Linked DNA regions of Astyanax mexicanus. The protein of the gene in region 2 purifies or fractionates together with the protein of the main gene of each other region. This does not show direct contact. Links are inferred from orthologs where the notes say so. Each region holds a gene or a part of one and is shown on either strand. Other genes may lie near its edges.

Region 1 (8,096 bases), on a different chromosome or scaffold from region 2:
CTAAAACCATCTTTTTTCCAATAATATCTGAAATGTGTTCCTTCGAAGTAATGAAACATCAGTCCTGCCTAAAATTATTAGAAACATTTCGTTTATAATAAACCTTTAAAAAATGCTGACTTCCAACCATCTGCAGCTCAGCCAATCAGCTCTCCATCCTGCTCCGCCCCTAAACCCATACATCACCCAGTGCCCCTCTAAAACTATTTTTTTTTTGAGCTGAGGGTGGAGTCAGCAAAAATCAGGGGGGTTAGCGCCCCTTTAAGAAATATCTCCTGACAAATGACCAACTTGTACCTAATAGCCATTTAAAATAAAAACTGAATAAACCTTTATTAACAGGGAAATCAGTCGAATACAGCAAGAGCTCTGCATATAGAGCCAAACAAATCTTGTGACGGACATCAAAAATTAATTTAATCATTTAATACTAATTTAATGTTTGTCCTACCTAATGCACATCTCTTAAAGAACCATATTTTTTTTATATTCCTGAAATGTGTTTATTTGAAGTAATAAAACATATCAGTCCTGCTTAATTTTTTAAAAAACTTTCCTGACCTTTAAAAAACACTTTATTGTGGTCATTTCGGCCTCTGCAGGCGAGGATGATGTTTCTGTGTACTCACAATATGCAGATCAGAAAATCGATAAAAACAATAAGACAATCAGCTCTCCATCCAGCCCAGTCTCTAAACCCATACATCATCCAGTGCCCCTCCCAAACTACTCGTCCAAGCCTTTTTCAAATTATACATATAAACACTGATTTAAAAGTAATTTGCTGTATTACGAAAGACAAAGTACCAAAAAACTGAAACTCACAAACATTATAAAACCTAATTTATTCACTCGATACATTAAAATATGACCGATAGAGCTACACTGACAGGTATAAACGCTTTTAAAGCGCCAAATCTTGCGGCTGTTCGTGAAATCAATAATTACTTCATCTAAAAATGTCTGTTTACAGCACCATCAAAGAGCCGCAACATCATGGGCGGAGAAGGTGGAGACGGTGGAGAAGTTCATAAAGAGAATTCAGTCTAACATCTGTACAGAGAACTCAGCTAGATAACACACTGAACCCTATAATTATTATAAACCTTCAAACAACCACCAAAATAAAAGACATGAGGGAGGAAAAGACAGAAAGAACAAAAAGCCTTTCTCTCTCCAAATTTAAAACCCCTAAAGATCAAGTAAATGTATAAATATAATTATGTTATTAAAATAATACAGAAACTGGGGAAGCGCAGTTCTAAAGGCAACAGGTGACTGAATGAAAGCAATACAGTACAACAGAACCAACAGGCCAACAGGGCTTTAATTAGCAACAGGAAACGGAACATATTGTATTACAGGCCGACACACAGAGAACACTGTTAACTATGTACCGAGAGGCTATTCTGAATAATAGGCTGCTTAACAGAATACTTACAAAGTCACAAGCATGCAAATGAGATTATAGAGTATTATATTATATTATATTATATTATATTATACAGTATTCTCAGTATTCTTATAACAGTAATTATTAGCCTGTTATAAACATTTACACAATAACAGGGTTCTCACACCTAGCTATAGCTCTTCATACTGTCTTGAATATTGTTCCTAGCCCCTATTTTTAAGAGCAGTTTCTACTCAAGTCTTAAACAATTAAAAATATGTTTAATCTGATCAAATTTATATAGGATGAAATGACTTTTCAATATGTGAGACAATAAGTATGTATAATCAACATTATTGATTATATTTACTAACTGCTGCAGCCCTAAAGTACACCTAATTTTTATATTAATTTACAAACTGAATGAGAAGTTAGTACAGTCTTATCTTGTGAAAAAAAAGCCTTTTGAAGTCTTTTTTTTACATTTTGCTCAGTAAAATAAACAGATAAATTTGAAAGATATTAAAGCAAAGACAGAACGGCTGCTTATCAGTACTTAGTTTGGCTATTTTCAAGGAGATGCAAGCAGGAATAAGAAAGTTTAATAAGATCATCTTAAAAATGTTAAAATTGATCTAGCTAGCTAAACAATTAAGTCAAGTGGAAACAACTAAAATATCTATATCTGTATAGATACAGTAACCTAGCTATTGTTCTGCTTATATTGTTCTGATTGGCCTGCTATCTACAAAAAAGTCTGTGAGTCAGCCAATCAGCAGTGTTTTTTTTTTCCTTCTGGACAGGATGATGGGATGCGGTCAGGAGCATCATGGCTCCCATCAAAACTCATTTCACCTCAGACTACTCTAAAGTATATCTCTGTCCGTTAAAAGTATTAAACAATGAAAGCCTTGCTCGCTGTACAGTTTGTAATAGTGATTTTAGCATTGCCCACAGGGGACTAAATGATTGCAAAAGGCATGTTGAGGTGAAATAATGAAGTATAAAGTGTATATATAACTTATACCTCCATGAAATTATTTTTTGCAACTTGGAATGTCTCACTGGAAAATAAAATCAGGGATAAAAGGGTTAATCTTAATCTGGTCACCTATCTAGTAGATTAATCCTTCTGAACATCATTTCTTTGGGCCTATATGGTGCCTTTAACATCAGGACAGACTGTAATTAGCTATGTTAGCTAGGTTAACTAAATTACAGTTTGCACATGAGGCAAATGAGGAAAACACAAGGCCTAAAGCAGCCAGCACAGATGACCACAGGCTGCACGCAGCTTTAAACACTGATAAATACACTGATTTTACAACTGTAATCAATAATAATCCAATGAATAATCCGCAAAATTAAGATTATAACAAGCAATTCGTCAAACTGACCGTTTTTTCCAGCCGATATTCATTTTTTGCTGCGTGTAAAACATGCAGTCAGACTTTCTGCAGCTTTTTAACCTCTAATAAACTCACCTTATTCACTCTCAGCTCCTCCGCGCTGATTCTCCTCAGCTGTCCGGTGTAATAAACCCGTTCCGCGGCTCCAGCGGCTCCGTTTTCCCCCTAAAACGGCTACCCGTCCGCAGCGAGGCCGCAAGCGTTTAACAACAATAACAAAAACACAAGCATGGCTGTTTCCACGGTGCCGCTGCATCACGGGAAGTGTAGTTCTCCTGCAGTGCGAGACTATACAACACTGTCTTATAAAAACTACAATCCCCAGACAGCAAGAGGATCAGCTCCGTTCGGTCAGCAACGCGAAACGTCACGTCGCATGTAACAGCGGACTTTACTGTGATTGGCTGACGTTTGACAGACACCTCACATGACCCTGTCTCATTGGTTGAGATTTTGTTTCCTTCCTTTTTAGACCAATGAAAGCGGAAACGTCACAGCAGCGGCGTCCCCTCATAGCATTGAGGGTAAAAAGAAGACACGCACGCGCACGCGCGCACACACGCACTGGTCAACATGTGACGATTGCGAAGTCAGTGTGGGAACTTAAAGAGAGAGTAAATCCACAAAGTTAAATATCTAATTTAACCAGAATTAACGTAAAACTATCGTGTCCAATAAAAAATATGAGTAATGATATTTTATAACAACTTATTATACTTATATACATAACATATTATGTTTCTGTCCCCAGGAAATTACATATATGAATGTGCACACAAAATATTTTTTAAATAAATAAATGTTTTTATTAAGCACAGTGTCTTGTACATTGACCTAATTGCAAAAGTAAAAAAAGTGTAATAAAAAATATAATAAATTGTCCTAAAAACAAAAATAGCATTAGTTACCTATCCCCCACTTTTTAACTATAAACTTTACCATGAAATATTATTAATATAATCCTTCAGAGGTGTATATATTTTTTGCATTGTTGTGTGACTCCCATCAAATCCAATCTATGCTGTAAAAATATTTTTTTTCTCAATAATGCCATAATATTTAAGTTAAAATACACATTTTAGTCGTATCCTTGTTAAGTTTAATTTGGAACAGTTACAACAAGCAAATGGCCCTTATATAAAATAAGCATGTTAATTAATAGCCTCTTACTGGCAACATCTGGATAGAATTGTCTGCGCAGAAAGACTTTATGAAGTGACTGGCAGAAATCACATCCATATTCAATGCAGGTGGTCCCATATTTATACCCCATAGATCAGTACAGCTAAATTCATATTTTACTTTACTTGGAAAAATTCTCTTTAAAAAAAAGTCTTAAGCTTTAGTCCACTCTGTCACAGTAAAATAAATTACAATAAATACAATCTATAAATATTTTTTCTATTTTTTACTATTTTTTTTTTACTGAAACATGTTGGATGCATGCATGAAAGAAATTAAAATAAGTAATAAAGTATTCTGTGTAAGATATTTCTGTGTAATCTTATGAAGAAGTCCTGTAAATATGATGAAAAATCTTCTTTTTTCAAGTTTGAAGTGCAAAAAAGTCAGAATTATAAAAAATGACAAATTAAAATTTGGCTTTTTTTTATTGATTGTTTTTATTTATTTATTTATGCTGCTGTGGGTCTGTACAGTGGTTAGAGATGGTGTTGTTTTCCTCATTACTGAAGCACTGTGCTGTAAACACCATGCTGTATCCTAATCGCTGACTCCCAGGGAAAACCGAACAGCCGGTTGAGGCGGCAGCGGGGCAGCAGTGCAGCAGTCGGAGGCCTGGCATTACATTCATTCCTCCAACTGTTTGTCTTCCCCAATTAGGCTTTAAAATTCAGAGTTAAAATTAAACCACTTCCTCTGTTGTCTACTTCACAGTAATATGTGACACATCCTGGTAAAACTGTGCAACAGCGACAGATTCCTGTAATTCAGATTTTTATTTAAGAGGCACTAAAAACACTAAACCATATTTATTTCTATTAATAGCTGAAATGTCTTCCTTTATAATAGTAAGACATACCAGTTCTGATTTAAATTTTTATAAACATTTACTAACCTTTAAAAACGCTTTTATTAGTAAAAAAAATAGTTTTATTAGTCATTTCTGCCGCTGCAGCGCCCTCTCAGGTTCAACTGTGCTATAGGTGAGGATGATGTACACAGACACTCAAAACATGCAGATCAATTAATCAATAATACCGCCCCCCTGCTGACGTCCAAACATCTGCATCTCATGGCTATCAGAGGAACACTGCTCAGTCCAATCAGCTCTCCCTCTTGCCCCACCCCTAAACCCATACATCACCCAGTGCCGCTCCCAAACTACTTCTTTTAGTTTCTTTTTTAACATTTTTCAAATCAGTAATACATAAATTACCTGATACATGATGATTGAATTGCATCAAATTAAAGCAATTGCATTCGAAATGTCTTATATTGCCCAAATTCAAAAGCTACAAATATTCATACAGCTCTGGAAAAAATAAGAGAGCACTTCAAAATGATGAGTTTCTTTGATTTTACCAAATTAAAAACCTCTGGAATATAATCAAGAGGAAGATGGATGATCACAAACCATCAAACCACCAAACTGAACTGCTTGAATTTTTGCACCAGGAGTAAAGCAGCATAAAGTTATCCAAAAGCAGTGTGTAAGACTGGTGGAGGAGAACATGATGTAAGGCTGCATGAAAAAAAACTGTGATTAAAAACAAGGGTTATTTAACCAAATATTGATTTCTGAGAGAAATTGGGAAAACTGTTGTCTCTAGTATATTTAGTCTATTCGCCATTGGGAAAAAATCAATCATTTGGTCAGTGCTCTCTTTCAGTTCTTGGACTTTTGTACAATTCTTGTACAATTACACAGTATTATCTGTTCTCACAGCAGAGCGCCTTAAATCTTTAACAGAGCTGTATAACAGACAGCAGGTGGCAGTACACTTTAACTAAACCTGCACTAAAGATCCTGTCTGGAGGTGGAGGTGGGGGGTGTGATGATGTTCTGAGCTGAGTGCTGACTGTAGAGTCTAATATTTGAGCTTGATGTGAAAAATGTGAAAGTGTGATTTGGTGCAGGAGAGGTATATAGACTACTACTTGCTTATTAACTGAGTATGACTATATATATATATATATATATGCATACATACACATATACAGCTCTGGAAAAAATGCAGTTTCTGAATCAGTTTCTCTGATTTTGCTATTTATAGGTTTATGTTTGAGTAAAATGAACATTGTTGTTTTATTCTATAAACTACGGACAACATTTCTCCCAATTTAATTCCAAATAAAAATATTCTCATTTAGAGCATTTATTTGCAGAAAATGAGAAATGGCTGAAATAACAACAAAAAAAGATGTAGAGCTTTCAGACCTCAAATAATGCAAAAAAAAAAAAAGAAGCTCATATTCATACTTATAAAGTTTTAAGAGTTCAGAAATAATCAATATTTGGTGGAATAACCCTGGTTGGTTTTTAATCACAGTTTTTTCTTTTATGCATCTTGGCATCATGTTCTCTCTCCTCCACCAGTCTTACACACTGCTTTTGGATAACTTTATGCTGCTTTACTCCTGGTGCAAAAAAATTCAAGCAGTTCAGCTTGGTTTAATCGTTTGATATGGTTTGTGATCATCCATCTTCCTCTTGATTATATTCCAGAGGTTTTAAATTTGTCCCTGTTTTTTGTTGAGTTTTTTATTTTTATTTTATTTATCTGAACTGTACGGCACCATTTCGGTCACCCACCTTAATCAGTAAATTGCATGTGGTTTTATATATATTGAGAAGTGTTTTGAAGCTTTGCAGTATGGGCTTGAAAACATTCCAGGCTGTAATTGCATAATGAGATGTTTATAGGCTACAGGCGAGGTAAAGGGAATACTCTGGGTTGCAGTAAAACACTACTCAGCCATATTATCTTTCATACTTTCGCGCGGCGAGAGAGTGAGACGGATGGAGGGTTATACTGGAGGGAAGAAGCTTGTTGAATTTGGCACAGTCCGCTCCGAGCTTCTCTGCTATCGGGAGGTCATAAGTCAGGGTGATATACGGGCAAATTAAAGCATAAGTGTTGATTTAACACTCACCCACCCAGGGTAAAGATTATAGTAAATACGTGGACATTTCACTTTGTCTTTTCCCCTTTTTTCTTTCTTCCAGCCCTTTGGAAGACCGTCCACCGTCCACAAAAGTGTTTTTATATCCCCTGCAGCTCTTAATCGAGCTCATAATGCAGCAGCATGACTCTCCCTGATCTTTTACTACTGGCAAAACATCTCAAACATCTTCCTGCTGGTGGAACGTGTTCGAGGCTATACTGTAAAAAAACAACAACTATAGAATCTACTCAAAAAAGTGAGGAAACAATCTGCACTCAGTGTGTTTGGGTAGATTTCACCCCGTGTACTGAGTAAAGAAAATACGACATGATTCCTGCTTCTTCATAATTCATACTTATTAGTTAAATATTACATATTATATTTCAAAATGACTAGCTAAAAACCTCTGCAAACTTTACTTTCTTACACTGAAAAAAATGATGAGTAAAATTTACCCCCCCAAAAAAGTTTCGCAATTTTCTGCATTTGCTTTTTTTTTTAGTAAATTTAATTTCAGATAAATTTAAGTAACTTCAACTCAGCTTAAAGACTTAAATGTTACACAGAGTAAATAAGTGAACTGAACTTCAGTCAGTCCTTTCTTTTAGTAAACTTTACTTCATTTCTGTATACAATATTACCTAATTACAATTACTTAATTTATACAATATTACTCAAATAATTAGGATACATATTATATTATAATTCCTGAAATGTAAATATTTTAGTTAAAACACACATATTACACTGTCTCAACACATGAATGGCATGTAATACGCTCTTTTTAGTACACTAAAGTACTATAGCATACTAAAAAAGAATGTATTACATGCCGTCCATGTGTTGAGGAAGTGAGACTTAGTAAATATTACTAAAAGAAAGGATTGACTGAATAAGTTTACTTATTTACTCTGTGTAACATTTAATTCTTGAAACTGAGTTGGAGTTACTTAAATTTATCTGAAATTAAAGTGACTTAAAAAAAGCAAGTGCAGGAAGTTGCGAAACTCAACAGTGAAAGCGCTAGCTAGTTAGCTAGTTAGCTAATTAGCTAATTAGCGTTAGCTCTATGAAAACCATGCTCATGTATACACTTCCCAAATACAATTTTAGTGTGCTAACTAGCTTGTTGAGCACTACATTTTATTATTATTATTATTATTATT
Region 2 (7,627 bases):
TACATGAACTACATTTAAACTGGGAGGGGAGCAACCAAAAATCATAATAATAGTAATCATAATAGCGATCTATTCTGCCTGTCAAAAAAATTGTGTGCAATGCACACAACATTATGGGTGACATACCCAGAGTTCAAAAGAGGACAAATTGTTGGTGCACGTCTTGCTGGAGCATCTGTGACCAAGAAAGCAAGTCTTTGTGATGTATGAAGAGCCACGGTATCCAGGGTAATGTCAGCACACCACCAAGAAGGACCAACCACATCCAACAGGATTAACTGTGGACGCTGTAAGAGGAAGCTGTCTGAAAGGGATGTTCGGGTGCTAACCCGGATTGTATCCAAAAAACATAAAAGCACGGCTGCTCAAATCACGGCAGAATTCAATGTGCACCTCAACTCTCCTGTTTCCACCAGAACTCAGAACTGTCCGTCACCACAATAAATTATTGTGGTCTAAAATCAGGTGTTTCAGTTTCATTGTCCAACCCCTGTATATCTGCAGAAATAAGATTTTTCAGTACAATAACAGAGCTTTAATAAGTGCAAGGTCTGTGTTTAATTACGTGCTCATGGAGGAAAGAGACAGGTCTTCGTTGGGTCTTGATGTGTCCAAAAGTAGCCAGACACCTGCACTAATTAGTGAATTCTGCTACTATAGGTTCACCTATTGGTGGAACATGCATTCAGTTACACACACACACACACACACACACACACACACACACACACAGAGCTTTTATATTAGCTTTTTTCAGTGACCTTATCTCATATTATTAGCTAAAGATTGTCCTACATTGAAGCAGCTTCAGTAAGTTTCAGTATAATGTAAAACTACTGTTTTAATAAAAGTAAAAGTAACTCTTGAGGAATATTTGGAAGTTTTACTTTAAAACTTTTACACTAACAGTTGTTTTAGGGTTTTTTTTTCTTTACAGCACTCACAGTGTTTCTGTCATTAACTGCTGTGGATTTCCTTGGTCTACCTGTTCAACATCTGTTACTAAGTACACCAGTGACGACTTTCTTCTTCAGGACATTGCAAACAGTTGTTCTGGATATGGACAATATTTGTACAATGGCTCTGATTGAGTTTCCATCTTTTCTCAGCTTCACAATTGCATGTTTTTCACCAATAGACAGCTCTCTTTTTTTTTTTTTTATATAAATGCACAGATAAAACCCAAATCCGAAACTGAATGATGTTTATTATATAATTAATGTTTAATGATAATTCATGAATCAGGTCACACCTGGGCAACAAAACACACCTGAGAGTCACATGTTCCAATACTTTTGCTCACAAGAAAGATGCGTACTATCTGTGCTATCATCTAAACAGTGTATCAGATGCATTTATTATTCATATTAACCTTATATTAATAGTTTAATGTCAAATTCATTTTCAATCTACACCAGAAATAAAGCAATTGACCTGAATGTTCCAATACGTTTGGACCATTGTAGCTGTAGCTATATATATATATATATATATACACACACACACACACACACACACATATATATATATATATATATATATATATATATATATATATATATATATATATATATATATATATATATATATATATATATATATATATATATATATATATATATATATAATGTTTAAACATATGAACTTATTGAACAGTCCTGACCCTGTAAACCAAACTAAAACAAAAACAAAATCTCTTACATATTCGTAACTAATTTGTACTTATATTTATAGTTTGTAAATAGCAGAAAGCTGATTAAATCTGTATTTAATTACACAGCTTAGCATTTGGCACCATCATGTTTCAGACCTTTACAATTGTATTACTCAACAAATAATTGTTTTCCAGGTGCCTTAACTGGCCTGCATGGGGTCATCTGAGGAAATGCTGATGAAATATTAATGAACGCTTACAAACAAGCACAAGAACAAGCAGCGAAAACATGGGGGAAACATGGAGGAATCCTAAACAGATAAATGTTTTTAACAACCCTCAAGGATGTGCTTTACATATTTGTTGGTGTACATATCAGTGGTATAAAAAAAGTGGCACTCCTGATAGTTTTTATGATTTCCCTTTATAAATCATTGGATGTTCGGATCAGCAATTTCAGTTAAACACAGCAGACAAACACAGTGATATTTGAGAAGTGAAATGAAGTTTATAGGATTTAAAGAAAGTGTACAATAACAAAAAAATAAAGCTGGTCATTTTATTGATTATTATTGGAACACTAAATTTGTTTGGTATGCTCATTGACACTTGACCTTTATACACAGGTGAATCCAATTATTAGAAAGAGTTAAGGTGTCCAATTGCATGTTCTTTTCTCTCATCATCTTCTCTGAAGAGTGGCAACATGAGAGCCTCAAAACACACCTCTCAAACAACCTGAAAACAAAGATTGTTCAACATCATGGTTTAGAGGAAGAATACAAAAGCTCAAACCTCAGAGATTTCAACTGTCAGTTTCCACTGTGAAGAACAGAGTGAGGAATTAGAAGATCACAGGCACAGTTCTAGATAAGATCTGAAGTGGCAGAACAATAAAAATCTCAGATAAGCAGAGGAGAAGGATGGTGAGAACAGTCATAGTCAACCCAAAGACCTCCAGACCAGCTCCAAAGACCTACATCATCATCATCTTGCTGCAGATGGAGTCACTAAATATTGATGTTCAGTTTTTCTGTTGGGGTGCCCAAATGTATGCACCTTCTAAAAGTTGATGTCTGTAAGATTTGGGATTTGGGGTATTTAGGGCCCTCTCTGGTGAGAATGGATAATTGCACCAAGCATGTGGAAAAATTATGTTACACTGGGCGGGTGTGATGCGGTCTCCTTTCAGAGCGCATGAATCCGATTCCAGGTTATGTTCAGTCAGAGAGAGAGAGAAAGCAACTTCACTCCTTTGTTTCTTTGTTTTTACTATGAGTGAATGAGACACTGAGGTCTGAGTTTCCTCTTCTGAAGTCTCCATTGCTCCACCAGCCACTCGCGTTCAGTAAAACTGAGCCAGATCTTCTTTTAGAGGCTGTACATGAGACGTAAGTTTGTAAAGACACGTGACGTGGCCAGAAGAAGAACTCCCTTGAAAAGTGTCCTGACCCCCCAGTTTTAAGAATTAATATATAAGGCTTAGCAGGAATGGTCGTTTCAGCACACTGGTACCATTAAACACAATATTTTGTCCCTTTTCCACTCAGAAAAGCTTCTGTTTTCAGTTTAGAAACAATATAATATGGACTGCCACTTTTAAATTTTGTTTAAAGAATTATTGCACACTTTCTGTAAATCGTATAAACTTCATTCCACCCCTCAAAACACAGTATCACTATGTTCATCTGCTATAAGATATATTTAAATTAAATTGCTGATCTGAACAACCAATGATTTACAAAGGAAAATTATGAAAATTATCAGGGGTCGCAACTTCTGGACCAATCAGCACCTCCTAACTTCTCAACAAAGAAGTGATGTCACTGCCGAAACTACAGAACCAACACCATAGTTCCCTCTTCACTAGCGGTGTAGTAGTGGTTTTAAATAGGTTGCTCATAATAAGTTGTTTGACAAAGCTTGACAGCATTGAATCTGACTCTCAGGAGTTCCCATCACACCTCGCAAAACGAAGAGAAATCAAAGTGCACGCGCTACGGGGTAATGATGCACGGAGCGTGTCTTGAATAAGCTCTCAAAGCCTGTAATACCCAGCATGTGGGTCGCTCAATTTAGTCTGTTGTCAAAAAGTTGTACAGAATATGTAACAGTGTAAACAAAGGGATCATCAGCATTCGAGTCTAGTAGCAAACATGCCTGTTTACGTTGAGCTTTTTGTGATAGTTATTTGTAAGGATATACTGTACCAGTCATATGTCTTCAATCCAGTGATTTTTTTTATGTTTTTTTTTTAGTCTATTAATTGTAATAGATTAAGTCATCCAAAGTATTAAGAAAACAAATGGAATTATATAGTAAAAATATTTTTTTAACAAACAGAACATGGAAAAAATATTAATTAATTACTTGAATTTCTTTCTTGTGTTTGAGAGCGTCAGTTGTAAAGTTGTGAAGAGGTAAAGTAAAGTTGTGAAGAGGTAAATCCATATTATGAGAAGCAAAAACTACTCAACTAAATAAAGAAAAAAAAATACTTTAAGAAATGAAGCTCATTCAGTACAGAAAATGTCAAGAACGTTAAACAGATCCTCAAGTGCAGTCACGAAGAGCGAGAAAAATGCTGAAAATGATAAAACTTGGCTCTCATCAGGACCACCCCAGAAAAGGAAGAGCAAGAGTTACCTCTGTTGCACAGAATTTCATCAGATGCCTCAGAAAGCTTAGACAGTTAACAGCACCCCAGATAAAAGCAGCTAAATTCTTCACAGAGTATTTTTTGAGCTTTTGTTTTTTAAGTTGGTTTGTCTCATTCCGCTATAATCCACTTTTTCTTGTTCTTTGTGAAATACTATAGGTCTCTTTGAGTTGTACAGCAGAAGGAGTTATAGCTAAGGAGGAGCTTACAGCTCTGTTTACACAGCTAGTTAGCATTAGCTATCTTGTGTAAGTAACTGTAGGTTTAAATAGGATCTCCGGTTGATTCAACATTTTACCGAAACCTTAAATCAGGGGTGTCCAAACTTTTTTTTGTTGGGGGCCAGAAGGAGAAATATATATGAAGTCACGGGCCACAGACTCTGTAATAAAACAAATAATGAAATACACCACTTTAAATAATACTTTTTTCCTGATTATTTCATTTACACAATTTTACTTGACTTACTATCTTTATCTTTGACAGTGTTGTGTAAACTAAGATTTTTCATATTGATGTTTCATTTCATGATGTCTCTTAATATTAAACTCCTTAATTACGGCAACATTTAGACTCTTTGGCCTGTTTTTCTGCGCTAGAAATGCGCACCCTTTCCCCTTTTAGACTCTTTGCCCAGTTTTTCTGCGCTAGAAATGTGCACCCTCTCCGCTTTTAGACTCTTTGCCCCGTTTTTCTGCGCTAGAAATGCACACCCTCTCCGCTTTTAGACTCTTTGGCCCGTTTCTGACACCTAGCGTTCAAACTTTGAATCTCACATTATAAAAACCTGCTTAACAGCGGGCCAACTTTCATTCTATTTTCTAAAATACCTTGCCGGCCGCTCCAAAAAAGGAAACGGGCCGCAAATGGCCCGCGGGCCGTAGTTTGGACACCCCTGCCTTAAATATACACTAGGAAAGCACGGTTTGACAAGGTAGCACAACTCGATAGAGCACCAGTCAAAGCGGGAGCCGTTCACTTTTACAAGATTTTACAAGAACCAAATACAGTCTTTCTTCAGAGACCTCTCATTCAGTGATCTAAATCAGGGCTAAATAGAAACACCTGAACCTGAGCACTTTTTTTTTTTTTCAGAAAAAACGGCTCACATGGCATTCATTTATACTAGTGACAACAACTAGATATTTTAAAATAAATGAAAAAAAAATGATGAAATGAGACCATCAAGACTTTTTAAAATATTTTTACTGCATACTATGACTACCTATTAAGAAAAACATTGTATGAGAAAGTGTGCCCAAACTTTTAACTAGTACTGCACAGCTTTTTATTTTGTGTACACTACACCATAGAAGTAATTAAATGCTAACTTGATCAGTATTTTAATTAGTAATTTATAGTCTAGGTGGCACAGTGGTGCAGTAGACAGTTCAAGAGGTCTGTGGTGGTGGGCCAGCTCTGGTCTTCTTTTGGGAGGAATTTGGTCTAAACTACATTTGGCCCAGTTCTGCATGGCCGATGCCAAGGTTCAGCTGATGCTGCCATGCAGCCGATTCTTCATACTGTCTGGGCATGAGTGTCCATGTGGGTTTCTTCTTCCTCTGGTTTCCTCCCACCTTCCAAAAACAAGTGTAGGTCAGGTAGCTTTGCTAAATTAACACTTAGGTTTGAAAGGATGTATGTTGTAGCCTATGATAGATTTAGGCTGATAGACTGTCCAGTGGGCATTCATGTCTTGCGTGCATTAACTCAAGGCAGGCTCTAAGCCCACTCTGTCTCATTGGGTTTGCACTTGGGGCCCTATTTTAATGATCCATACACCTATAGATCACTAAAATAGGGCCTCCAAGTCATAAACCGTGCACCATGCAGCTTAGGGCTGAGGGATTTAGGACATGTTAGTGTGTTTTTGCTATCATAACGACAGGAAAAGTATGCCTTACGTGGCTCCAAACGTACAAAAGGCGTGTACAAAAGGGGTGTACAAAAGGGGTGTGTTTTGGGTACTTCTCAGCAGAAGAAACATGACCTGGTTGTTTTTGTTGCTGTGAAGGTGAGCAAGCAGATCATTTACGAGAACAGCGATGTTATATTAATTTGTATTATATTTACTGTTCGTGTAAAAGTTGGATTTGTGCACTGCACAGAAGTTAAAATACGAATCCACCAAAATCAGTCAGTTAAGAGCACTTGGTTCTCAAACGGAATGGTATGCCCAAAACATGCCCATGATTCGTTAAAATAATTAGTACATGCCATTTGTGCATCTTGAGCTGTGCAAGGGATACTTATCCCATCGTTACAATAGCAAAGACAAACTGCCATGCCCTAAATCAATCTGCATGGTTGACAGTTCGCCAAAATAACAGTTCGCTAAAATTCAGGTAGCCCAGTGATTAAGTGTGCTCAATGATTCAGGTTAGGCTTCGGACCCACTGTGACCCTGACCACAAAGAAGCAGATAAGTAGATGGATAGATGGAAATGTGGATGGATGGATGGATGGATGCATGGATGGATGATGAGCCATTAACCAGTAATGAGGTGGTACAGTAGGGATTGTATGGCCTCCACAGCTGTAGTGGTACGGGTTTCGGGTAAGATGCTTGCTGTGTTCCCTATTTGTAAGAAGTTTAGTGGGTTCCCCCAGTGTTGATATGGCTTTCCTTCAGTAATAGTAGGTAAATCGGCTATGCTAAATTGCAGGTTACTGTCGTTTACCACTGTCTTTTTGCTGTGAAGATGCTTGAAGATGAGGAAGAAGACACAGCAGACATTGTCTTAGGTGTAGTACAATGATTTATTACAAAAGACTAAGGCAAAACCTTCAAGGCTTCCTAGGCCAGCCTTGGAGAGAGATGTTTTCCGGATTTGAAGTTTCCGCTCTCTCTCCCCCTCCCCACTCTTGGGGGCCTCCTTATATATGGTGATATGGTATATATCTGGAAACACTTAAGACATACATAGCCATAGACAGCCATAGACCGAAACTACCTAAAGAATAGCATACCTGTCAAGTCTCCCATTTTGGCCGGGAAACTACCGTATTTTACGCCTCTTTCCCGCCGTCCTCCCGTTTTTTAATTTTCCCGTAAATGTCCCGTATTATATTAATATTAAAAAAAAACTTTATTATTAAGGAGACGGGGCACTGACCGCTCTGTGTCTCTTAACCAATCGTGGTGCCGGTTCAGGGAGAAAGTCCCGCCTTTCAGGAGAAACAGCCAATCAGCTTGCTGGTTTTGCGGAGCGCGAAGGAGGGTTAGTGTGGGGAAGACCCCCCGCCCCCCATCGCTGTGAGTTCAGGCAGCTAGTCGGAGCTGCTGATGTTAAAATAGATCTGGATATACAGCG
Region 3 (7,522 bases), on a different chromosome or scaffold from region 2:
AAATACCAGTTCCAAATAATAGGCTGTGTCACCATTTCAACAAAACCTGTTTTTACTGTCCAGTAAATATAGTGTCTCTGGTAGTGACAGTACAGAGAGAGAGACAGAGAGAGAGAGGAAGAGAGAGAGGAAGAGAGAGAGAGAGAGAGAGAGAGAGAGAGAGAGATGTATTACTCATGCGCACATGTGGAGAAGAGTGACACCACTGAACTAATGCCAGCGGGAGCAACCGGCCACTGTGTACACACCATCCCTTCATCGGCATTGCCATGCCTTGCACTTCTGCCCTTTACTGTAAACATTTCCGAACAATAATCCAGGGCTTCTATGCAAAACAACTTTAAATAGAACCATAACCTTCAACAGAACAAACTAAAAATTTGCATTTACAGCGACACATATTTGAGGAAAGTGACCAATGTGACCAGACACCATTCACAAAAAAAGTGAAAGTTCCTGTAGACTCTGAGAGCTTCACCTTATCTGTTTTATCTGTGTGCTTTTATCTCAGCGACTCTGGATAATGCTCCTTTAGCACTCTTTAAGTCAGACAAATGTGACTTAGAAAAAAAGAACCTTCATTGTTTTGTTGTTTTCTGATCTGACAAAAACAATATTCCACATTTAATAAAGAACACTGCTCATATGCAACACACTGTGAGGATGTCTCCAACTAAACAAGCTAAGTGATTGTTATGTCTTGAGAGGGTGGAATTTCTCCAGCCAGAGGGCTTCTTACAGCCCTGTGGGTCTCCTGAGAGTCATATGGCATGAGCTCACACACAAGGGCAGCCCAGTGCCCAACCAAAAGCCTCTATTTAGCGCACTGGTCGTAGAGCACGTCTGGCAGCAACTGATAAACCATATCTGACGCGCACATAAACTAATGTTTACTAGTGTGAGCGCTAGGCCTCGTGCTTCTCCTCACCACTGCAGCTAAACAACAGGTTTTTTTAGCAAGGGCACACATGATATATATTTTTAATATACAACAGGTACGATAAAAATACGAAGCAGTGCCCATCCTGCAATCCAGCCTAAAATACTGCTAAAAGTAAAAGAAATCCCCTGTCAAGAAGGGCAAGCCCTATGTCAATGTTGGCCATTCATGAAGCACACTGCAGCTCTGTCCTGTGTGACAAATGTGCACCTTTTCTTCAATTCTCGACTTACATTTAGGTCAATGCCTCTAACTGTGGGCGGTGTAAGAATCGGTCAGTCTCACTTTCTCAGGTGTCACTCTCCCAGTGACACAAGACAGCCTCCGTCTCTGTTTGCTCTGATTTCCTGCCCCATCTGTGTGACCCACTCACTGCAGTCCTGTTCTTAAACAAATCTGAGATTTTAAAAAATACTATATGTGCCACGAACTAATACAATGATACAAAAACAAAACCTTTCTGTAATGTTAACCAGCAAACCTTCAAATTCGATTCAAATCTCTATAATGCAGTTTTTACTAGTAGAAACTCTCATTTCTGCTTTCAGCTATCTGACTAGTCTTACCTAATCATATCTCACGTCACCACTGATTTATGTGGCATTTTAGACACTCAAATTCACATTAATAATCTATTTGCATATGAATTACTTTTTAATAGTAGAAACACTGAAACTTTTCTAGTAGAAAATTTTACAAAATTCTGAACTGCACATCATTACCACTTCTAATGAAACTTCATTATAGTGGAGATTTCAGAATTACAATTTCCAACAGCAGCAATGCAATTATGGAAGAGAACGAAATTCTACATAAATTAATAGAAACATTTGAATTGTCAAAGTTACATTAATGATATGTGATCCTGGTAATGTGTCTAGTCAGTATGTCTCTATAGATATACATACCTGATAGTATTACCTATCTGTAAATATATCACAGATGATAATAATAGATCTGTCGATTATTTTTCTAATTAGTTGATGATTATTTCTGCCATGCTCTCCGTCTCGGTTTTGTGTGGCTACTGCTCCTGTCTCTAGCTTTCTTTATCGCTTCAAACATGATAAAAACTGCTTAACGTGAAACTTAAATTTTCTTAAAATGACCAGAAGACGTTCGGATAGATGTGAAATGCTCTGATATTCAGCAAAAAAAATTACAATCTACAAATATTTGTTGCAGCCCCGTATGGCACAAATATTTAAAAAAAAGCAGAGCAGTGAAAGAAAAAGCTGTGTGTCTCTTGTAGGGCTGCAACGATTAACGATTAATCAGTATAATCAACATTATTTTACTGTAAATTTCAATGACAACGAATCATTAAATTGTAAATGTAATGCACACTGCACAAAGTGCAGAGATTCACTTAGTCTACATTTCGCTTAGTCACGAAAAGTAACGTTAACAGACACACAACCGATTACAGATTACAACATATTTCCTTAAATATCAAATAGCTAATTGTCTTCTGGTCATTTAAATCCAACATTCAGCTGTTTCTGTTGTATTGGAGGGATAAAGAAAACTAGAAACGGGAGCTTGGAACCACAGGAGGCAGAGGTTGAGGGTATAGCTGAAATAATCGTTGACTTTTTGACCAGTCAGACAAATAATCGTCAGATTATTCGACTACCACGATAATATTTAGTGGAAGCCCTGTTCTCAACACAGAACTTAACGCTACTGTTTTTCTGCCAACCTGCCAAAGCGGGTATGCTCGGAGCTAATGAACAAGTTTCCATTGAGAGTTTGGACGCACAGCTAGCAGGTCGGCTAACGTTCATTTCCGACAGCTTTTACACATTCAGCGCTGTTTCCACACCGCAGCGAATCACACAATGTCGCTGTACGTTTGTTATATTCAGTTCTTGACGGCTCACTACCATCTAGCTGAAGTAGTTTATACACCACCACTTCCACACGGCCCGTCCCGGCTCGGCTCTTTAGCTAGGCTAGGCTATCGGAGCGGGCTGTGTTTTTGTTGTTGTTATGAGACCGAGCGGAGGGCGGACCCCGAGCCAAGGCCGCAGCCAACAAACGCAGCGGCCAGAAGTGCAGAAACGAGCCCGAGCACTAACCTCCGGGGAATCTCCGCTGCAGAACTGTCCAGTACTTTCTTCCGAGACCCGGGAAATAAAACAAACGACGAAAAAATGACCAAATCTCGCCTAGTATCCATCTGCAGCCTTCAGTCCGTCCCTCCGCCGAGCCCCGCCGTCATCGCCAGCCTCGAGCAGTGACGCCATCACGTAACGCCTGAGCGTCGCTACGTTTACATCGCAGCGCAGAAAAGCGATCACTGCGCCATCTGCTGGCCGCTCTGGGGTCGACACTCAATCACACAGCCCTTTTACACCCAAAGAGCCAAGAAACATTGTGCTTTTCAATGAAACAGCCAGTCTTTGCACCAGATTTAGTGGAACCTACTATTCTTTGGATCCAGCTGGGAACAACTTTTCAAGTTCCAGAACAATTAAAGCTGTACTCAGCTGTTTTGTTCAATTTAAATTTAAGTTGCTTTTAAAATAAAGCTTATTTATAGTAAGCCAAGTCAATTCGTGTTATTGTAAATAATGCATATGCACAGGACATACAGATGACTGAAATTACGTTACTCTCCTTCCCAAAGTTACAACAAGTACAGCAAGATAAAAAATATAAATATAAAAGAATCAGAGACACTAAATGTACAATACAACAAGGTCACAGATATACGTGAGACACAAAACAATAGTGCAATAGTGATGGGGACTGAAGAGGGAATAACGGTACCATTGTAAACAGAACCGTATAAACCGTATAAGCCAATTGGTTCTACTTACTAAAAAGTTTTGACCTCGGCGTTTTGTGTTTATTACTTTTAATTGATATCAGTGTCAGACTAATTAATTACATTTAACCCAAAGACAATTAAACCAATAAAAATTCCAGTGCAGTGAATCTCCATACCTGTCAAGTTTTAGATTTAAAAATAAGGGATATTTTCCTCCGTCCGCTTAAAGTCGTCCCACCAGCCCAACGAAAGTTCAGTATCTCTTACATTTTAAGGCAGGTTTACAAAAAATCTAAAATAACCACATGTGAACCACTTACAAATTACAATTAGATTATCAGAATCTGAAATGTTGTGGACATTCCTACATATGTCATTCTTTTAATACAGCCAAATTAAAAACCCTTTTCTAGATATTAAAAAAAGTTAAGATTTCATGTCTTTTTTGCCTTTAAATGCACTCTTTTATATTATATATATTTTTTTTTATTTAATAGATTTAAAATTGAACAAAGGGTGCACAAATTCTGCAAAATGACTGTAGGTGACCTAAAAATAGTATTATGAGCTTTTACTAAAAGGCAATGGACCACACATATTCCATCAGTAAAAATTAGTCCTAAGTGGCCTACACAATTAATAATTTTTAAATAATACTTTTTTCTTTTGAACACTACTGATCAGTTCAGTTAATTTCGGTCCTCTCCACATTTCTAGTACGAGTCACAAGCTGTAATTTTTTTATTTTAAAAGGTTTAATCTGTGTGTTTTATTTCGGAGACGAGTATTTTTAAGCAGCTATCAGAAAAATCTCATCACAGTTTACATGATTAGCCTACCGAAAAATCGCTGAATATCCAGATATGTTTTAACATCAGCAGCTCCGACTAGCTGCCTGAACTCACAGCGACGGGGGGCTTCCCCACGCTGACCCTCCTTTGCAAGCTGATTGGCTGTTTCTCCTGAAAGGCGGGACTTTCTCCTTGAACCGGCTCCACGATTGGTTAAGAGACACAGAGCGGTCAGTGCCCTGTCTCCTCAATAATATATATTTTTAAATCTTAATATAATACGGGAAATTTACGGGAAAATACTAATACGGGAGGACGGCGGGAAAGAGGAGTTAAATACGGTAGTTTCCCGGCCAAAACGGGAGACTTGACAGGTATGAATCTCTGAAGAAGAGAATACCCACTTGAGAATCTCTAAAGAGTTTGCAGACACTAGAGGGCGCGAGTCTAAAATTAATGGGTTCATATCGGAGCAATTGAGCAAAATCATATTATATTTATAAATCAAACAATATCGAATGTTTTTACAAAGAGGCATTTTCATGCTTTTATACTTCAGGTAAAATCAGCGTGCTTTTACTGTTACTTCAGAATCCACTTGCCAACCAGTATTTTGTTAAAATATTTAAAACATAATACTTTATTATTCTTTTTCATGGTTATATACTTTATAATCATGGACAAAGAGTTAGATGGTATTTTTAATTGTAAAGTTTTAGCAGTTTAACTCTCTGTACATTGAGGATTCACTAGCAGCTCCATCTAGCATTATGCAGTCATAGATATAACATTTATGATTTAACGGGGGAAATACATTTTTATTTATTTAAAATACTCATTTTGCTCCTCCACGGGCATTTCTAGAACAACGCCCGCCAAGGTTCCCCGATATTTGTAACTGTGGACGAAGAAGCTTGCCCCACACCAGTCAATACATTAAGAACTATAGCTAGACACTAGCCAATCAAAAAATAGCATCGCAGTATCCGGGTAAAATGTACGTGATCCAACCAATAACTTTCCAAGAAGGCGCTGCAGACCAACACAGGACGACGCGGGGGCGCCATATTTAAAGAGCGTACATTACAGTAAGTAAATCTCATCATACGATTATGGGTTTTGTACTTACATCATATAATTAACCACAGCTGATTTAGGAGAATATTGTATTCAGCTAATAATGTTAATTATCAGTAACTATCAGTATCAGTAATTTCGGCAGCCATTTTTCACACCCATTTTAGTTCTAGTGTTGCACACAAAAAAGGAAAACTCATGGTGATTTGTTTTGATCTCGTTCTTTACTGGGTACTTGCCAAACAAAAAAAATACACAGACATACTAATAGACCATTACTCCCTTCATTTTACAAGGCCTTCCCTTACCCCTGTACTGAAGGCCTCAAATGGAAAAGATAAAGGGAAAGGTAGAGAGAGAGAGAGAGAGAGAGAGAGATCACAATGTAACCAGAAATCACAAGTCGATGAAAAAAATGTTAAAGAGTAGAGGTCAGGTCTTTTTTGCTAATTTAAAAATAGCAACACTGATAAAATTTCCATAAAAACAAAATACTAAGCCATTGATTTAAGCGTGTGACATATTTGGGCTAGTTTAAGCTTCTGATGGGCGAGTTTTAAACTGGCAACCCTGCACACACCTGTGCGCTGACACCCCCCACCAACACCACCCATGCTCTTCCCTTCAAAAACCTCAAAAGCTGCAAGCCCTGTTTTTGTGGTAAATATATATTCACTTCTTTGTTTGGTTGATGCACAGCCAACAAGGAATTGTGCAAGCCTTATTTTTGTATGAGATTACAAAGATCTTGATATATATATATATATATATATATATATATATATATATATATATATATATATATATATATATATATATATTTAAGCCCATCAGAATGTTGATGGCTAAAAGAATAATTTAATTCCTTTAATAGTAGTTGTATCAAATGAATCAGGGATCTTCATGCTCTCTGCTGTCCTAGGTGATGAGCCCGTCTTTTGTTAAACAACAAATTTCCCATTTGGAGGCTGAAGTCATCACTTTGACTTACACTACTTCATACATCATTCAAACTGCAGACTTGTTAATCTAATTTTGTGATGTGTGTAATTAGCATTGGATTTTGCTGGTTCCCCCAACAGGAATGAATAGGTGGCAAATGATTTTGCACCCTGCAATTTTAAATATTCCCTGAAACCAAAATAGCCTTTCTCCACCTGACAGCAAAAGTAATTCCGTTCAGTGAAGCAGTTGCTGCGAAAATCAAACCAGCTTCAGCCGGGGAATACGAGGCTGCAAATATAGAGCCAAACAAATCTGGAGCTGCGAATATCAAACTTCAGCCTCATGTGTAAAACAATGGAAACATATGACTTGTCAAAGTTACATTAACAATATGTGGTCCTATTAATAAGTCTAGTCAGTCTATAGATCTGCATATCTGATATTATTACCTATCTGTAAATTTATCACAGCTTATATTAATTTGGTTGTTGACTAATCTGTGGATTATTTTGCAGATTAGTTGATTATTATTTCTGTCATGCTCTTTGTGTGGGCCCCAGATCTGTGACCTAAGATGGTTAAAGAAGTGTTATTGCAAATTTCTGTTACTGCTCTCAGTGCACTTGTGTCCCTTAAATGAATTTGAATGCCGAAAGCTCTTCTCACATTCTGAGCAGTGATATGGTTTCACGCCTGTGTGAATGCGCCGGTGTACTTGGAGAGTACACAGTAATTTAAAACTCTTCATGCAGTCTAAGCAGTGAAATGGTTTCTCTCCTGTGTGAATGCGCTGGTGGTTTATTAGACCACTCTTTTGAGTAAAAGTCCTGCCACACTCTGAGCAGTCATACGGTTTCTCTCCTGTGTGAATGCGCTGGTGTGTTTTTAGACCACTTCTCTGAATAAAACTCTTGCCACAGTCTGAGCAGTAATATGGTTTCTCTGCAGTGTGAATGCGCTGGTGTTTGTTGAGCTCACTCTGTGTAATAAAAT
Region 4 (7,634 bases), on a different chromosome or scaffold from region 2:
TACAGAATAACCAACACAAACAATACTTACTCAAATTTCCATCAGCAGGAATAAAGCTCTGTCTCTGCAATTTTTAGATATCTAACTACAACAAACAACGATGGACTTTTAATACTTGGTCATTTTGTCCACCCCTCAAAGCACAACTCCACATTTTTCATAAAATCACCCAATCTGGCAACACTATAAGCCGGTGTACGCTGTTAATTTCAAGAGTTTCTCCATGTAGTTCATTATTAATGTGTGGATTATGTTTCTAAACAGCGTGAATATAACAGTTAGAGAGATTATTGACTCCATGATCAGCTCCGAGCTTCACTAACCTTAATTCCGAGCTCAGTTCAGTGTGTTTATGGAGTTTTGAAACACAGTTCAGCCGGTCAGGTGTTTAAGGGAGCAGAGCGGGCGCATGTTAATGATGAGGGCGTGTCCGAATTCACTAAGTAGTGGTGAAACAGAAGTGAATTCAGACACGCCCTCAGAGCGTGTATAAAACGTTCTGCTCGCATAAATAAACATCTGACTGACTGAAACGGTGTTCTGTCAAATTATGCTACCCATTATGCTACCCATCGATACATAAAGGTAGTGCGCATGCGCCGACCTACACCTTTTTTGTGTTTTTTTTTTTCATAATAGAAATGTATTTTGTGCATTAAACAAGCTGGACTCACTGTCATTGCACAAAAGTGGAAATATTAATTAATTAAAATAAATACAATAGTTATTATTTACAAAAAAAAAATAAAATAAAGCAGTCTGTAATGACCTCTCATTGCCATAACTTTACCATGACACAGTGATTTATGCTATCCAAAAATACTAGCTACATTTACTGGGCTTTCTACAGGGAACATGCTATAATATGGTGCTACTTATGTATTTTAAACATTTAAATATACACTAGGGTAGCACGGTTTGACAAGATAGCACAACTCGACAAAACACCGTGTTTAAAACTTCATAAACACACTGAACTGAGCTCTGAATTAAAATTAGTGAAGCTCTTCCTCTCTGACTGTTATACTTAAGTTACGCTGTTTACAAACATAATCCTCACATTAATTAACTACATCTGAAATAAACAGCGTACATCAGCTTGCAGTGTTGCCAGATTGGCTGTTTTATACTAAATGTTGAGTTGTGTCTAAAATTGACTGTATAAAGTGTTAAGAGTTTGAAAATATAACTCTTCAGCGTTGTGGTTAGTTAGCTAAACTTGCAGAGACGGATTTTTCAGTCCTGCTGATGGAAGTTTAAATAAAAAGTGTTTGTGTTGGTTATTATGTAACTCTACGTATTTACTCATTTCATTGCTTTGGGTCGTTCGTCCTACTATACAATGCACAAAACACATATATAATATAAACATGCAGATAAAACCATTTAAATAACGTTTTTTTTTTAATTGGTGATATTATAAAATATTTAAGGTGTTTTATTTAAGATCACGTTGGAATAAACCCTGTAATATTGTAGATATGCTGAACATTAGCTGTAAGGTTGTTTTACTCAGTATTATGGAGGATTCTAAGTAGGGGTGGGCAATATTATATCGTATACAATATATCGTGACAAAGAAATATCATGATACTAAAAATCCATATCGTGATAATAGGGCTGTTCTGTCTTAAAAGTAGTCTATTATTTACTGTGAAGCTTTAGGTGTATTTATTGTATAATTGTTTTAGTTCGCAGTTTATATTCATGCACTAAATATTCTGCAGTATTATTTGCTGCATTGTATTATTTTATGCTATATTATTTATTTTGCCACATTATGATTATACTGTTATTCTCTTATACTATATTCCTGAAATTAATGAATTATTTTAGTTTTCCTATATCGCCAAGTATATCGTTATCGCAAAAATACCCTGAAATACCGTGATATTATTTTAGAGCCATATTGCCCACCCCTAATTCTAAACATTTTAAACAGTGACTTATCTGATTCCTACTGTATCAATCTGGCAACCCTGGTGGCTCGCTGTCTGCTTCGTTTGATCGATTGTCTGTTGATTAGTAGTGAGTCTCGCAATGCATTCTGGGACACATTTAGCTCACACTGAAAACGGCGATATTTACTATAAATCAGGATGCATTATGGGAGTTTATAGTGCCTCAAAATCACATGCAACTTCTCCCTTACGATTTGGACACTCGGAGAAAAATGGCTGATATACTTTATAGTGCCCTAAATAGTAAATAGGGAGCCAGTTCGGTCATAGTGGTAACTAGCGTTTTGGCGCCAAAACGTTAGTAACCCAGAAATGAGTAATTATTAGGCAAAATATGCTTCAATACCTGCTAAAAACACACAAAAATGTGTCTAGAACTGATATAAAACCTCCTTTTGCCAAGAACGTGTCTCAAAAATACATATATTATTTTAAAACAGCACATTTTCGGAGTTTTTCTGCTCTGCTTACCTCCTGCGCTGCGTACAAGCTCCTAATGAGGTACGGAAGCAGGGTTGCCAGGTCTAACAAAAATATCCAGTCCAAACACAGTCTAAAACACACCCTTCTGAACCTTAAACTAGACCAAAATCTAAGTTTGTCACACGTTTGAAGCAAATGGCAAAACATCTGAGTGAATTACTTGATTTTATAAGGGATTTATGAACAGTATTGTTATTTATCTTTAAGTCATTGTTAGTATTGTAACATTAGTGTTTTATTATTTTATTTATAACAGTTTTAATTTTCAGTCAAGAACATTTAATAGTAACATAATAACATTATTTTATTTACTCTTTTCTGTTCTTGCCCCTCTTGAACTCTCTTCTTTCTTCTTTAACGTTTTTTTGTAGCTTAAACAAGCTCAATTTGGAGGGAAACAGCAAACCTGGCAACCCTGGAGGCACGGAGCGATAATTAATAAAAGAAAATGTAGTTTTCTTGTTGGTGCAGGGAATTGTAGTCCAAAATAAAAACAGACAAAAAAAATAAATTTTTGCTGTTACAGCACATCAATCAAACTCCAACAGCAGTATGAAACATTACAACCGGCCCTTTTGTTCACTAAGAATTCATTTTATTATATATAAATATTTTTCTATTATTTTGTAGTCTTTTTAATTCCTTTACACCAGTAACAGGAGTGAGTTTTGGTAACAGGAACGAGTGCCATTAACAGGAGGATTTTTTATTTGTCATAAATATTAATTATCTGAACATGCAGTCAACCATTTCTTTAAAATAAATGCTTTCTTGAGAGAAAATAAAAGGAATAAGTGGACTTGCTTTAAACACATTCTTTTTAAATGATACATGAGTGTTTTGTAACCATCTTCAGCTTTGTTTTATAATCTTCAACTGTACAAAAATAAGTAAAGCTGTCTGAGTTTGACCAGTACATGTTTTAAACAACCAAATACATGTGTTATTAGATTCAATTTCGAAAAAGATTTTAAAAATAAATGTAATTTGAAAGAGTTACAAAAAGCAAATTGCACTCATGGCCCATATGTCACAGGGTTTATGTGCTTCGAGGGAAAAGTGCAGGCTGTAGACATTTATTTCAGCCACCTGATGTCACTCTTCTCTGAGGCTTTTTATTAGTTTTTTTGTTCTGCTGTAATGTGTGACTTTCCTGTATGTAACAAAAAAGGTATATTTATATTTTACTAAAATACTTTAAAACGTTTTTTTATAGTTTTATATCTTCTCAATTTGGTTTGTGGCACTTAGTATAAATAATGTATTAATAATTCTAATAATTTTACATTAATAGTTATTTTTTAATGAATAGAAAACAGAGATCTTTTTTTTTAATAAGTAAATGTACAAATCAAGAAAGGTAGCAGAAGTGTACAGTAATGTGAGAGCAAAAATAATTATTCTAGGAAGGTTTCCAGTGTACACTACAAGTACATTTTCAGCTAATGGAAAAAAAAAAACAGCAACAAAAACAAAACAGAATAAGGCAACACTTAAGAGAAAGAGAAATACTAACAAGGAGGCAATAATTGTCTTTTGGACATGAAGGAAGTCAAGTTTCACACAATTAAAAAAGCAAAGACTTTGATATCATATAATTTCTATTCAATTTCTATTCAATCTCTTGAAATATTCTAGTGACTTGAAAAAAAGAAAAGAGAAGAGAAGATAAGATAATCATTTCTTAGTCCCGCAGTGGGGAATTTCACAGTAGTACAGCAACAAATGGATAGCAAGGCATAACAAATAAAATAAAGGGTACAATATATACAATATAAATTATAAAAAAGTAAAGAACTCTTAAAACTGTATTTACAAATAATTACGCATTGCCTCTTAGTTGTACAGGGGCAATGGATTATTTTACATTATATTACACTGAAAAAAAAAACATATATATAAAAAAGGCAAAATCATGTATAAACAATGTGAATGATGGAGTTATGGCTTTTCACTTATATGAGTATATATAATATTTACCCAAAATGATAACAAGAATAACTAAATCTAAAATGTCTCTATTTATATATTTTGCCCATATGATACATTGCGATTTTTTTTATAAGTAAATTTATGTATGTCAGTAATATAATTTTATCTGACAACCAATGTGCTGAAGGGACTTTTACATTGTAGAATAAAAGTCCCGCGGGGTGAATTTGCAGCTAAAACCGTATGCGGTCGCTTTTTCTCCGTTTCTCCGGCAGCGGGAGGGAGAGACACTCACGGACTAAACACCGATAAAACCGCGATCTCCAGCCGCGCAAAGCCGGTAAACACACCGATCTTTACTCTCCACACCTGGGACACATTTTATAAACTGTCCGCGGGGCGGATTTGGGGTTAGAATCTGCGATTTTGGGCAAAATGTGTAATAGAAATGTCGGATCGCGGTGCGTTAGCTTGGCTGGCTAAGCTAATAGCGGCTAAGCTAATCAGCAGCCAGGCCAACACGCTTAGCTCATAGCTTAGCTTATGTTTCAGCTCATAAATAAGGTTAATTTAGATTAAACCGGACAGGAGTTGGGTGTGAAATCTTGGTTATTTGTATACTGTGGAAATTAACTGTATTTATGGCTTTATTGTATATAATTTAATTAATAATGTAGTTAGCTTTTTAGCTAGTTAGCTAACCTAGGTTAGTTTTTGCAGCGCGCATATGGATACAGATCACTGTAGCTAAGCTAACGTTAGCTGACCAGACTTATACCTTATTTTTTACATGCTCTTTATTATTTTAAACAGTTTTTGAAGTTTAAACAGCAAATACTATATTTTACTTACCTGCAAACCATGATCTGATCACCTTATCCCGGATTTATGTGAATATAATTACCCTTCTCAGCATCATGATGGCACACAGATGATCAGAACAGAATCTATGCAGCTCAGATTTGTAAATTTACAGCTTTATAGCTTAATATATTAATGTAATAGTAAGGTGTGAGCGCTACAGAATGCAGTACTCATGGTGAAATGCTGTTTTAGGGTTTGTAAATGGATTTATTGCTGTGTGAACTGAACGCAGCCACAAGGCCAAGGTCGCCTCGAGGCCTGGAGTCTGGCACACACACATTATTTACAGTATTGACACTTTGATAACAGTATTTACTGTGTTTAAGCTGTTGTTTCACTGTTAAATCAGTTTAATCTGCTGTATTCACAAGATTCACAAGATCTGAGTGACTTTAGTGTAAGATAGTGTAAAGTCTCACACTGGGTGATTATCTTTAATCTGTCATTAAAGAGGCACTAAACCCTAAATCATTTTTTAAAATCATAAATAGCTTTTATTAAAGTGTTCTTCCGAAGTAAAAAAAAAAACATACCAGTCCTGTTTAATTTTTTGTAAACCTTTCCTAACATTTATAGGTCTTGTTCCATCATTTTTTTGAGGTCTCTAGTATGAATATATTCCATGTGAGCTGGTTTTTGTTTATAAAAAAATAGCTCTGGTAATCTGGTATAAGGCTGCTTTAGTCAGGTGGAGCAGTGGGTGGGTAGAAACAAACAGGATTTGTCTCTTGCTCATGAATACATACATGCAAACATATCGCCTCTGATTGGTTAACAGCACTGCAACGTCAGGAAGCGGAGAGATGGAGAACAGTTAAAACGTTTTAAAATAAAGACATTTTCACACTAATAACAGTCTTTGCAATGTCATATGTTATTTTACAACAAGTGTAATACTAGTACAAGAGTATTTTTTAACTGCTAAGTGCAGTTCAGCCGCTGATATAGTCTTAGAGTCTTTGTAAAATGCCAAATCCACCGGAGATCCCATGTAAACCTATAGTTACACACAGAGGTGGGTAATCCAGGTCCAGGTTTTCATTTTTAACTAGTGTAAACAGAACATACACCTACTTGTACTTCACTGGTGGTGTTATATAGACAAATTCTAACCATTTGTTCCTTAGACCTGAATTACTGGGCAAAACATATAACACTGATGTGATATTTGCACAAATAACACAGGAACGAACCTTTTCAGCTATGTTGTTTCTAGCGCTGTTAGCTTCTAATCAATCAATCAATCAATCAATCTATCAATTAATAATACCACCTCTGGTGACTTCCAACCATCAGCATCTTACTGCTATCAGAGGCACAGCTCAGCCAATCAGCTCTTCCTTCTTCCTGCCCTTAAACCCATACATCACCCAAATTTGAGCTGAGGGTGAAGTCAGCAAAAATCAGGTGGTTTAGTGCTGCTTTAAGCAAGATGTATGGATGGATGGATACCGAACAGTGTAATACAAAACTATAAGGGTGGTGTAGTATAAAAAAGTGGGTACAGATACAGCACAACTATTGACAAAGAACTGCCAAAAGAATAGGACCCCCTGGCGCAAATAAACAGAATGTAGAGACGTAAACATGATTTTCTGGCCCCTAATTGCAGGGTTGAACTATGAAGCTCCTCAACTGTTGAACTGTGTTCTCTGGAATAATTTATGCTCCATCCAGCACAATGTATTTTGTCTCAACAGGGTTATTCTAATAACACATTTACATTAGAAGTGCCACTGGTCTCTAACTTACCTCTTACTCAGTAGTACTGTTCTAACCATAACTTTATCTCAGCAGTGCTACTCAAGTCACAGCCAGACTTTTTGTAAACAAACAAATTCTTGGGCTACTTTAGCTTAGCTGATGTTACTATCCTAGCACTGTACAGCAATTTGACGTCATATGTTATTTAGCCTTTTTTAAACTTATTTGCTTGCCAGAGATTTAGTACCTCCATTCTAGGGCTGGGATTGGAATTCTATACTGACATGTCTCTCTCTCTCTCTCTCTCTCTCTCTCTCTCTCTCTCTTTTTCTTTCTCTCTCTCTTTTTCTCTCTTTCTCTCTCTCTCTCTCTCTCTCTCTCTCTTTTTCTCTCACTCTCTCTCTTTCTCTCTCTCTCTCTCTCTCTCTCTCTCTCTCTCTCTCTCCCCCTCCCTCTCTGCTCACTATATCCTGAGACATTATAATACAGTAGTGAAAAGTATCTATTCTGCCAGACCTATATTAATATTATTTAATCTAATGCTGATATTTCTTTAAAAGAAACTCTTCAAACTATAATGCATCCAGCAATAATATAATAATAATAATAATAATAATAATAATTTGTAAAATATTTAAAGTTTAAGCAGTTAAAATAATGCTGTTATAAAGTGCCACAAATAAATATGCT

What was found.
Region 1: the proteins of aurka (region 2) and calcoco1a purify together in Homo sapiens (affinity purification with mass spectrometry; 3 studies listed by BioGRID and IntAct, counting the BioPlex papers as one, with this or other methods). This does not show direct contact. The link is inferred for Astyanax mexicanus from reciprocal best matches to the Homo sapiens genes AURKA and CALCOCO1.
Region 3: the proteins of aurka (region 2) and mtmr3 purify together in Homo sapiens (affinity purification with mass spectrometry; 3 studies listed by BioGRID and IntAct, counting the BioPlex papers as one, with this or other methods). This does not show direct contact. The link is inferred for Astyanax mexicanus from reciprocal best matches to the Homo sapiens genes AURKA and MTMR3.
Region 4: the proteins of aurka (region 2) and dicer1 purify together in Homo sapiens (affinity purification with mass spectrometry; 4 studies listed by BioGRID and IntAct, counting the BioPlex papers as one, with this or other methods). This does not show direct contact. The link is inferred for Astyanax mexicanus from reciprocal best matches to the Homo sapiens genes AURKA and DICER1.

The regions. Positions count from the first base shown.
Region 1 is NC_064420.1:1,176,779-1,184,874, reverse strand, and holds the start of calcoco1a (calcium-binding and coiled-coil domain-containing protein 1), read right to left. Parts: upstream 3,053-8,096; 5' UTR 2,878-3,052; intron 1-2,877. UniProt on the Homo sapiens protein: Functions as a coactivator for aryl hydrocarbon and nuclear receptors (NR). Recruited to promoters through its contact with the N-terminal basic helix-loop-helix-Per-Arnt-Sim (PAS) domain of transcription factors or coactivators, such as NCOA2.
Region 2 is NC_064424.1:42,037,657-42,045,283, forward strand, and holds the start of aurka (aurora kinase A), read left to right. Parts: upstream 1-4,476; 5' UTR 4,477-4,486; intron 4,487-7,627. UniProt on the Homo sapiens protein: Mitotic serine/threonine kinase that contributes to the regulation of cell cycle progression.
Region 3 is NC_064419.1:34,446,792-34,454,313, forward strand, and holds the start of mtmr3 (myotubularin-related protein 3), read right to left. Parts: upstream 3,193-7,522; 5' UTR 3,022-3,192; intron 1-3,021. UniProt on the Homo sapiens protein: Lipid phosphatase that specifically dephosphorylates the D-3 position of phosphatidylinositol 3-phosphate and phosphatidylinositol 3,5-bisphosphate, generating phosphatidylinositol and phosphatidylinositol 5-phosphate.
Region 4 is NC_064421.1:4,264,806-4,272,439, forward strand, and holds the start of dicer1 (endoribonuclease Dicer), read left to right. Parts: upstream 1-4,616; 5' UTR 4,617-4,716; intron 4,717-7,634. UniProt on the Homo sapiens protein: Double-stranded RNA (dsRNA) endoribonuclease playing a central role in short dsRNA-mediated post-transcriptional gene silencing.